Linked DNA regions of Saccharomyces cerevisiae S288C. Changing the gene in region 2 together with the main gene of any one other region gives a genetic interaction. Each region holds a gene or a part of one and is shown on either strand. Other genes may lie near its edges.

Region 1 (5,253 bases), on a different chromosome or scaffold from region 2:
ACCTCGTTGCTTGACTCTTCCTTTTTGGTCATGTTTTCATCGACGTTTGTTTGAATAACACCAGGAATATAGAACCTCATCTCTACCAATTCGTCACCGGCTGGTTGGTACTCTTCATCTTGAATATTAAATTCTATTCCTACTTCATTTTTAGAGGTCAAATTTGTATTATTTATTCTAGCATAAGGAATTTCAAAAGTTGGTTTACCATTTAAAGCAAAAACCATTTCATTCCTGGCAAGGTCTGTCTTACCCCAGTTCCAACCACGTAAGGAATGTTCTCTTTGCTCTACCTGAATATTAAAACGGCGATGGAAATCATTCTTGATTAAGTTATAGTCATCCTGAGAAAATCCATCTAGTTGGATAACACCTTGATTTTTGGTATTTATCTTCAAGTCGTAACCCCTGCAGCCCCTACTCCATTGGACGGTAGATAATTCTGTGGCTGGTAATAAAAATGGTTTTCTTGCCTGATTTGCTGCAGAGCCACCACTGGTACTAATTTTCCACCCTAACCCAGAATCAGCAATACGGAATCTACCGCTAAATTTAGATTGGTTCAAGTAAATTCTATCAAAGTCGGTACTCATAATTCTTGTTCAACAATACTAGATTGTTCCTTCACTTGTTAACGGTATTTCCTTCTTGTTCTTACCACCGATTCAACATCTAGCTACTCTCATACTATGTATATCTCTGACACTCGCGTTAACATTTCACCAGTTTAACGATTCGTTTCGCGTTGAACCGGGTTATACAATCGTTCTTCGCGATGATAATAACAATAACTCCAAGAAAAGTAAGCTTTTTCTATATATATATATCATAAGTATCTTGATATGTATTCGTGAGCCAAGTACTTACAAGGCGCTTTGAACCCCCTTCAAAAACTCACATAGGCCTACTGCACCAGGATCTTCTACTTGAGATGAATCGCCGACATACGAAGCTCTGCCAAATTTGGCCTCGAATGTAGCAGTGGATTTAGCACCTTCCTCTGCAGCTTTTACCGCCTTATTGAAATCCTTAGATGCAGTAAATTCTTTAACGAATGGTTCTAAAGCATCAATCATGGTGGATGATCCCTTCCTTGCCTTTGTATATTTGTATAAAGTATCCAATGCAATTCCGAGTGACTTAGCCACAATTTCCTTAGTGACGGGTTCATCCTTTGATTTACAAACCTGAATTAATCCGTGTGAAAAACCCGACAAAAGAATAGAATATAAACCACCAGAAGTACCTCCCATTGAGCCTTCAATGAAATCTGAAATTTGGGCAACCGCCTGAGATAATGAGTCCTTCGACAGCTTGTCAAGGTTTTCGGTGATGCCTTTAACTCCTGCCACTAAAGTGTAACCACAATCACCATCACCAACTTGATTGTCTAGTTCCGTAATGTGCGGTTCGCTCTTGATAACTTGTTCAGCACCACTCTTCATCCACTCAGCAAACTTGTCAAAGTCATAGGTACCGACGGCCTTTGCTGTTACTTCATTATGTAACAAGTCATCGTTAACAGATGGGGCAGAAGTCTTTTCAAAATCTGCAATTGGCCAGCCCGGTGCGTTCGTAAATGCGTTCAACAAGTCTAGTACTGATTTGATCTCCTCAAAATCAGATTGCAAAGCCTTTGTAGCCTTAGTGGCGTTTAGTAATGTGATACTGAACCCATTACCATTGAAGGAGGTCATCAATGTGCCAGCAATTGTTTGAACCGGGGTTATGTTGTAATTTTCCTTTAAGAAATCCGTAGTTTTGGAAGTGATAGAACTAATAACAAAATTAGAAACACCGCCGAGATTGTTAACTAACAAGACAACTTCATCATCTTCATCAAACTTTACAAAAGCTCTATCCTTATCGTTTGGATCCAATAGTTTTGGTAGCATATACTTGGAGATCAAGTCTTCGGTAGAAGGAATAGGGTCTAAAACTTTCACACCAGGTTCGTTATGAATACCCATACCCAATTCCATTTGTTTTTCGTTTAATTCACTTTCGAATTTCCTGCCAGGAACTTTACAATGGTCTAAAGAAGATCCAATGGTCACCAAATTGTCGTTGATAATTTTAGCCACTTTAGCTGTACCGTCTAAGCCATACTTACTAGAATATTCTTCTGCGAAGGCACCTACAATCTTATGAACCAAAACGGTACCTGCCAATGCTCTTCTACCAACCATACCACCCTTTTCTCTGCCAACTGCAACATCATCACCTATGACAGCAACGCGGCAGTTAATACCCAAGGCTCTTGCTCTCTCAGCGGACAGACCAAAATGCAAAACATCACCTGTGTAGTTCTTCACAATCAATAAAACGCCAGACGCATTTTCATTGACTAAACGGATTGCATTTAAAATCTGTTTTGTTGAAGGGGATGCAAAAATTTCGCCAACCACGGCGCCACTCAACATACCCTTACCAATGAAACCGGCGTGTGTAGGTTCATGTCCACTACCACCACCAGAAATTAATGCGATCTTGTCGGAATCGGTCTTTCTGAAGAGAATTTTTTCTTCAGGGACCAGCGTAATGGAGGGGTTAGCAAGGGCAAACCCTTTGAGACTTGAATTGACTGGATCTGTGACTTCAAACGATTTAGCGGACATTTAAAATTTAGTCTTAGATATAGAATGTAATCTTATTCTTTGATGTGTTCGTTTACAGTTGCTACAAATAGTGACTACTTGTAGCGAAGTTGAAGTGATTTTCTCCTTATATATTTATTCATCAGTTAGTTCGACAGACGCTCGCGAGGTGGCCACTCTTTCAAAATGACGCAATTGGGAGTGGTTTGATCTTTCTCCCTTAGAAGCCAAATTGGCAAGCACTCACTCCGGGCCAGATTTACACCATGTTTGTAGCGCATTTAAATCAGGAAATGCATTATATTTCACTCTCTCGTCTAGCGAGTCTTAATGTTCATGACGGGGGAGCTTTATGCCTTGTTTTTTATCACAGCGCCAGACAATTGACAGTAACAAATAAAGGCAAAAAACCCTTGAATAGCACCAGAGGTGTTTACTGATTGCTTTTAAAGTACGTATAAAACTGTAAAATATAGATTAAATTCGACCGCCATTACTTTAGAGTTGAAATTGGGAAGCCGTATATTGCCATTTCAGCCATGCTTCTATGGTTCCTAATGGAAGCATGAATGACATACGCAATTTGATGAGCTTGAAAAGGGCGTAATTGACAAGCCAGATTTGAATCTAATCCCTTGAGAAATTATCTGCAAGTAGTAAAAAAATCTCTAAAAGATGTATAATTGAGTCGCCTAGAGACCTCATTCATCATGATATTTGACACCTTAATTTTGATAGTAGCGGGTCAGTCATTAAGAAGAAAGTGAGCTGGGGCTAATCATCAACGATCTCCCATAATTACGTACGTCAAAGACAACACGTTGGCAAAGGTAAGAAGAACGTAGTGCGTATCATGCTTACGGTGAATTTCACCCTTTTTTTCTGTTATTCGTGCTGATCCACGGGGTATTCAATTGAAGATATTATCTTTATCATCATATCGGTAAGCGTCTGGGAGAAGCAACTGGTCAAACGTTTTCAAAAACCATTCTTTAAACAACAAACCGATCAATGTTCTTGATCAGCTTATCAATCTATCCGATCTCCTGCGTTCAGCGTGACCGCCACACTTATGTCTAGATAATTTAACTTCCAGTTGCTAATTTCCCGCTAAAGTATCTTATGTTTACCATCACTGTAGCCGCCCTATCATATGCAACACTTCCATACTCATTTTCGGAATAAGAAGCAACTATCATCTAACGACTAGTATTTATATTACTGGTATATTACCATATTGGGTATAAGACGGTCAAATAAATATTGAGAAACAGTCACCAATTTTAATGGAAATTGAAATGAAAGGGTTGATAATGTGCTAGGAAAATGAACGAGAACATACAAAATGAAAGAAGAAATAATAATATTCCTACACAGAAATATCGGTTCTCTATTGTGGATTTTCATATTCTCGAGGAGAACCTCTAGTACATTTTGTGTATCTGGTATCACAGCGCTTGACAACTATAGAATTTAAACAATTATCTCATTCTTCATCCATCACTCAATCATATATATTAACCCCGGAAAAGTGCATTTTTGGTTTCTAATAACATTTGTATTAGTAATATTTGTTTACCCAACAATTCAAGAAATTTAGCTCGCGTGGCGTAATGGCAACGCGTCTGACTTCTAATCAGAAGATTATGGGTTCGACCCCCATCGTGAGTGCTTTGTTTCTTCTTTTTTGAATATGCTAATTCTAAATTTATAGGAAGAGTTGGATTTTCCTTTAGTTAGTTGTACTCTTGAAGTCCATTTTCTTTTTATACGTACATTAGATCGATCTCGCGATCATGGCTTCAATGTCTAAAAATATAGCGTAGTAACATACTGAAAAGAGAAGCACAGAAAAAATAATCATAGAAGTGTTAGGACATTTGAGGGAACATATTTCAACAATAAACATAATCATTGAGTAAAATGGAGCTGATACTAAACAGCCTCATTTCTGATGATTTAACAGAGGAACAAAAACGGTTAAGTCTTGATTTCCTACAGGATATCCTACAATCTAACACGAAAGACTATGAAAGTTATTTTTCATCTAGGGCTGTTCCTGGTAGCATAACTGAAGACATAGCAGAAATTGATGCTGAATTATCTGCCCTTGATAGAAAGATAAGGAAAACACTACTAGATAATACGTCTCAGATTATCGGAAATATTCTTGAAAACGATGATAGGGCTCAATTGGATGATATAGCCAAGTCTTTGGAGCAATTATGGGAATTGGATACTAATATTAATAAGGCAGCCGATCGAAACGTTACAAATGACGATATAAACAATGAAAGCGTTTCTATTGATGACTTTTTGGAAGACGATAAAGAAGACAACGACACAGGTCGCATCATGACGACTGAGAGTAACAATCTGGCAAGAAAGAAGAAGGAGGATGAGTTTCACAAGGCATTAAGTAGGTTAAGAAACAGAATTTCAACTAAAGAAGATGACAAGGACGACATTAGATCTGACACATTAGTCACTGTACTAGAAAATTTGGATAGCATTACGGATTTGATGGAACTACCATTTTTGGCCCGCACATGTATCAGAACAGGTCATTACCAGGAGGCCGTCATGCTATACACACACACTACTTCCCTGAGGTCAAGATTCCCTGGTTCAACCATTGTGGATGAAGTTTGCGAAA
Region 2 (4,584 bases):
TTTAATTGATTCCGATTAAATCCGCTGGTAGCAGTTTTGTTTCAAACTAATTCAGCCTCCTTACTCCCCATTTCCTTATTGAACTTTGGGGATTCGGAGTTCCTTTTTTTTTCCGCCACTCCGATAACTAAACTTTGCAGTTTCACTGCTTGTTAAACATTTTCCTACTATAAATGACATTTAAAACGTAATTGAGACAAAAAAAGTTAAATCGTTATTAACTTTCACTGCGGCTCCGCTCTTTTCCTCATAAGGAAATCCCCTCTTATGATCTTGAGAAATGGGGGAATGTTGAGATAATTGTTGGGATTCCATTGTTGATAAAGGCTATAATATTAGGTATACAGAATATACTAGAAGTTCTCCTCAAGGATATAGGAATCCTCAAAATGGAATCTATATTTCTACATACTAATATTACGATTATTCCTCATTCCGTTTTATATGTTTCATTATCCTATTACATTATCAATCCTTGCACTTCAGCTTCCTCTAACTTCGATGACAGCTTCTCATAACTTATGTCATCATCTTAACACCGTATATGATAATATATTGATAATATAACTATTAGTTGATAGACGATAGTGGATTTTTATTCCAACAGATCTTGATATAAGCCCTGTCATTGATTGCAAATGCACAAATTCCGGAGATTGAACAGCCAACACAAAGATAGTATTTGGGACTTAGCGGGTTGAGAACGGTAATTATATCATGAATACTCCACTCCAAGCTTGTTTGATACATCACATTCTTGTAAAAATATATGATCCAATTCCTAGGACATCAGAAAATATATCTACTATGGGCGTGTGGCGTAGTCGGTAGCGCGCTCCCTTAGCATGGGAGAGGTCTCCGGTTCGATTCCGGACTCGTCCATTTTAAAATTTCTTTTTTTTTTTTTCTCTTTCCGTATGTAAGCTTTTTTCCTTTTTTTTTTTTTTTTTTTTTTTTTTTTCTTCACTACTTTTCAATGAAACTCTCTTCAAAAGACAGCATGCAGTAAAAGCGCCGATATGAGTGACGACGATTATATGAACAGCGATGACGACAACGACGCCGAAAAAAGATACGTAAGGCCAATTTTCGTCAGAAAGCGCAGGAGAGAAGAAGACTACGTTGCAACTAGCAAAGACAACATCCACCACCACCCATGCGATTGGTCCGCGAAACCATCGCAACGTCAAAACGAAAATGAGCAAAAAAGCACCATACGGCTTGTACCAGTGGCGATGAATACGCCGAAGTGTCAAGAGAAAAAAAAGAAAAGAAAGGGCGTTGGTACAACTAGTCATGAGGCTACGCTTTTCGAGTACGGTGAAAGCATAGCAGGCTACAAGTGTGTTACAACCGAGAGCGAAAGAGACCGCTTGAAACGAAGTCATGAAAGCGAAAGCAGCAGTGAAAGCGAGGTAGACGTTTTCGCCTTTGACCAGGCAAAAGGTATCAGCTCTAAGGTTGAAGCCGAAGAACGCTACGCGCGGGCCGTTCGACAGTATTGGCGCATGACCAAAGACGAGCCGGCTACCTTACCACTGCCAGGCACACCTACCCTAGCGGCTGTGAGTTTAGATATGATTGATGACAAAAGCGTAGAACAATTTTACACAATGAGCAGTGCCTTGATGGATGCAAACAGACTAGACTTGATTCGCCGCGATAGAATCCGGTGGCACCCGGACAAACATCGTTATCATAAGTCCAAAGTCACAAAACTGTTTCAGGCCATTAACGGCCTGTGGGAGCAAGAAAAGACCGAGAAAAGGTAATGAAAAAGTGGAACTAGACCCCACGTCAGCGGGCCTAGGCCCTTCAATGTGTTAGAATACACAGCGTGCCTAGTTCCTGGTGCCTGGATCTCGAGGCCGCGGCACTGGAAAAGCCCTTTCTTTTCCAGATCGGGAAACCTAATGAGTCCATAAAAAGAAATGTAGAGGTGGTGTTGACGTTTTGCCGCTTTTGGGCAAGTAGGTCTTTCTGCACGGCCCGGCCCGGGTCGTGCGGAAAAAGAAAAAAGCAGACAAAACAAAATTTTTCCTTTTTTTCGCCTTTGTTTCTCCTGATTCGGGTATATAAGTGAATACCATCTAATGTGTTTCCTTCTCGAGACCTCGGCGTCTCCCAGATCAAAGCTCAGCAAAGATTTTAAACCGCAATTTACGCTCCTTTCATCGGTAACTAAGAAGAAAAAAAAAAAAGTACGACCACACAATTTCCAGTGTATTCATTCCTTAAACTTCGTTTATTTTTTATTCATTCATTCATTTTTATTTGAATATAACCAACTACTAGTCCTTCCTTTAAACAAAAATTTACCCTCCCTTAATTTTTCAAGAAATTCCAGTATGAAATTATCCGCTCTATTAGCTTTATCAGCCTCCACCGCCGTCTTGGCCGCTCCAGCTGTCCACCATAGTGACAACCACCACCACAACGACAAGCGTGCCGTTGTCACCGTTACTCAGTACGTCAACGCAGACGGCGCTGTTGTTATTCCAGCTGCCACCACCGCTACCTCGGCGGCTGCTGATGGAAAGGTCGAGTCTGTTGCTGCTGCCACCACTACTTTGTCCTCGACTGCCGCCGCCGCTACTACCTCTGCCGCCGCCTCTTCTTCCTCCTCTTCCTCTTCCTCCTCTTCCTCTTCTTCCTCTGTTGGTTCTGGAGATTTTGAAGATGGTACCATTTCCTGTTCTGATTTCCCATCCGGACAAGGTGCTGTCTCCTTGGACTGGTTAGGTCTAGGCGGCTGGGCTTCCATCATGGACATGAACGGTAACACCGCCACCTCTTGTCAAGACGGATACTACTGTTCTTACGCTTGTTCTCCAGGTTACGCTAAGACCCAATGGCCTTCTGAACAACCTTCCGATGGTAGATCCGTTGGTGGTTTATACTGTAAGAACGGTAAATTATACCGTTCCAACACCGACACTAACAGTTTGTGTGTAGAAGGTCAAGGCTCTGCTCAAGCTGTTAACAAGGTCTCCGGCTCCATTGCTATCTGTGGTACCGATTATCCAGGTTCTGAAAACATGGTCGTTCCTACCGTAGTTGGCGCTGGTTCCTCCCAACCAATCAACGTCATCAAGGAGGACTCCTACTATCAATGGCAAGGTAAGAAGACCTCTGCCCAATACTACGTTAACAACGCTGGTGTCTCTGTGGAAGATGGTTGTATCTGGGGTACTGAGGGTTCCGGTGTCGGTAACTGGGCCCCAGTTGTCTTGGGTGCTGGTTACACTGATGGTATCACTTACTTGTCCATCATTCCAAACCCAAACAACAAAGAAGCACCAAACTTTAACATCAAGATCGTTGCCACCGATGGCTCTACCGTCAATGGTGCTTGCTCTTACGAAAATGGTGTCTACTCTGGCTCTGGCTCTGACGGTTGTACTGTTTCAGTTACTTCTGGTTCTGCTAACTTTGTCTTCTACTAGGCCTTTTTTCCTTGAATATTGCAAATAAGCTTTTGCTAGTACTTTTTTTACTCCGTTCATTTTATGGTTTATTTTTCAATTAGTTCGTTTTTCCACAATACAAAAAAACACAGTCCTTTGTACTATCCCTTTTATTTCATTATTTTTTCTTTTTTAAGATACCACTAGATATTATCATATATAGCATATTATATAACATAAAAAGTCAAGAAAAAAAATGTTTTTATCACTTTCTATAACTGCATATCTTTTTTTGCATTTCGAATGATTGCTTACACATCGCCATGCTGGGATTCCTCCTCTGGTGGTGAGACAAATGGACCTGCTAATTCCAATGCAGGTTCGTCAATGTTGTGGTGAGCGTATGACAAAACACCAATCCCACCGGCGTCCAGTAAGAAACATGGATTGTCTACCAAATGTCTGTAAGATTCCAATTTCACATATGGAACTGTGTCGTCATCATAAGATTTGACATTTTGAATTTCTTCAATCGTCTCACACTTCTTTTGCACACCCAGTCCAAACCAAATAGCAGCAAAATAACGCAATGCATGTCCGTGCGCAAAGACCATGATGTCTGATGCTCTGCCCTCACTCTGGTGCTTGCGGTGCAAGTTCTGGATTCTGGCAATAGCGCGGGAAAGTCTCAACCCAATTTGCTGAGTAGTCTCACCGTTCTCACACCCATCTCTCCAGATATTCCATGGCCTCTCCTTGTCCAAACCGCGTGACTTTCTCAATTCAATGATTTCTCGAGTCAGCATTCCCTCGTAGTCACCGTACTCCCACTCTCGCAAGTCGTCGTCTACCACCACACGGATCTTAGCTCTTTGCTCGTCGCTTAATGGTTTCAAAACCAAATCCACAGTTTGCCTGGCACGCAAACGTGGAGAGGTGAAGATATAAGTGATGTTGTCTGGATTCAAAAACTGATTATTGCGGAAAACACTCTCACCGGTCCTCAACATTTGGCCCTCACCGTAGGGCGTTAACGGTAGATCTGTCAAACCAGTATACTGGCCTGACTTGGACCATTCAGTTTGACCGTGTCTGACAATGATACATCTGGGGGTTAGCGAAGGCATTGTTGCTTGCAATTAAGTGTAGGTGTTTCCCTATCCACTTAGCTATGAAC

What was found.
Region 1: mutations in UTH1 (region 2) and DAK1 together harm fitness more than expected from each alone (negative genetic interaction), as found in Saccharomyces cerevisiae (2 studies listed by BioGRID).

What each region holds. Positions count from the first base shown.
Region 1 is NC_001145.3:130,840-136,092, reverse strand, and holds DAK1 (dihydroxyacetone kinase), read right to left. Parts: upstream 2,619-5,253; coding exon 864-2,618; downstream 1-863. Other genes in the region: FACT complex subunit POB3, read right to left, coding at 1-593; Golgi transport complex subunit COG8, read left to right, coding at 4,521-5,253. UniProt on the Saccharomyces cerevisiae protein: Catalyzes both the phosphorylation of dihydroxyacetone and of glyceraldehyde.
Region 2 is NC_001143.9:517,179-521,762, forward strand, and holds UTH1 (SUN family protein UTH1), read left to right. Parts: upstream 1-2,348; coding exon 2,349-3,446; downstream 3,447-4,584. Other genes in the region: YKR041W (uncharacterized protein), read left to right, coding at 1,020-1,772; SHB17 (sedoheptulose-bisphosphatase), read right to left, coding at 3,719-4,534. UniProt on the Saccharomyces cerevisiae protein: Involved in aging, oxidative stress response, and in the regulation of mitochondrial biogenesis.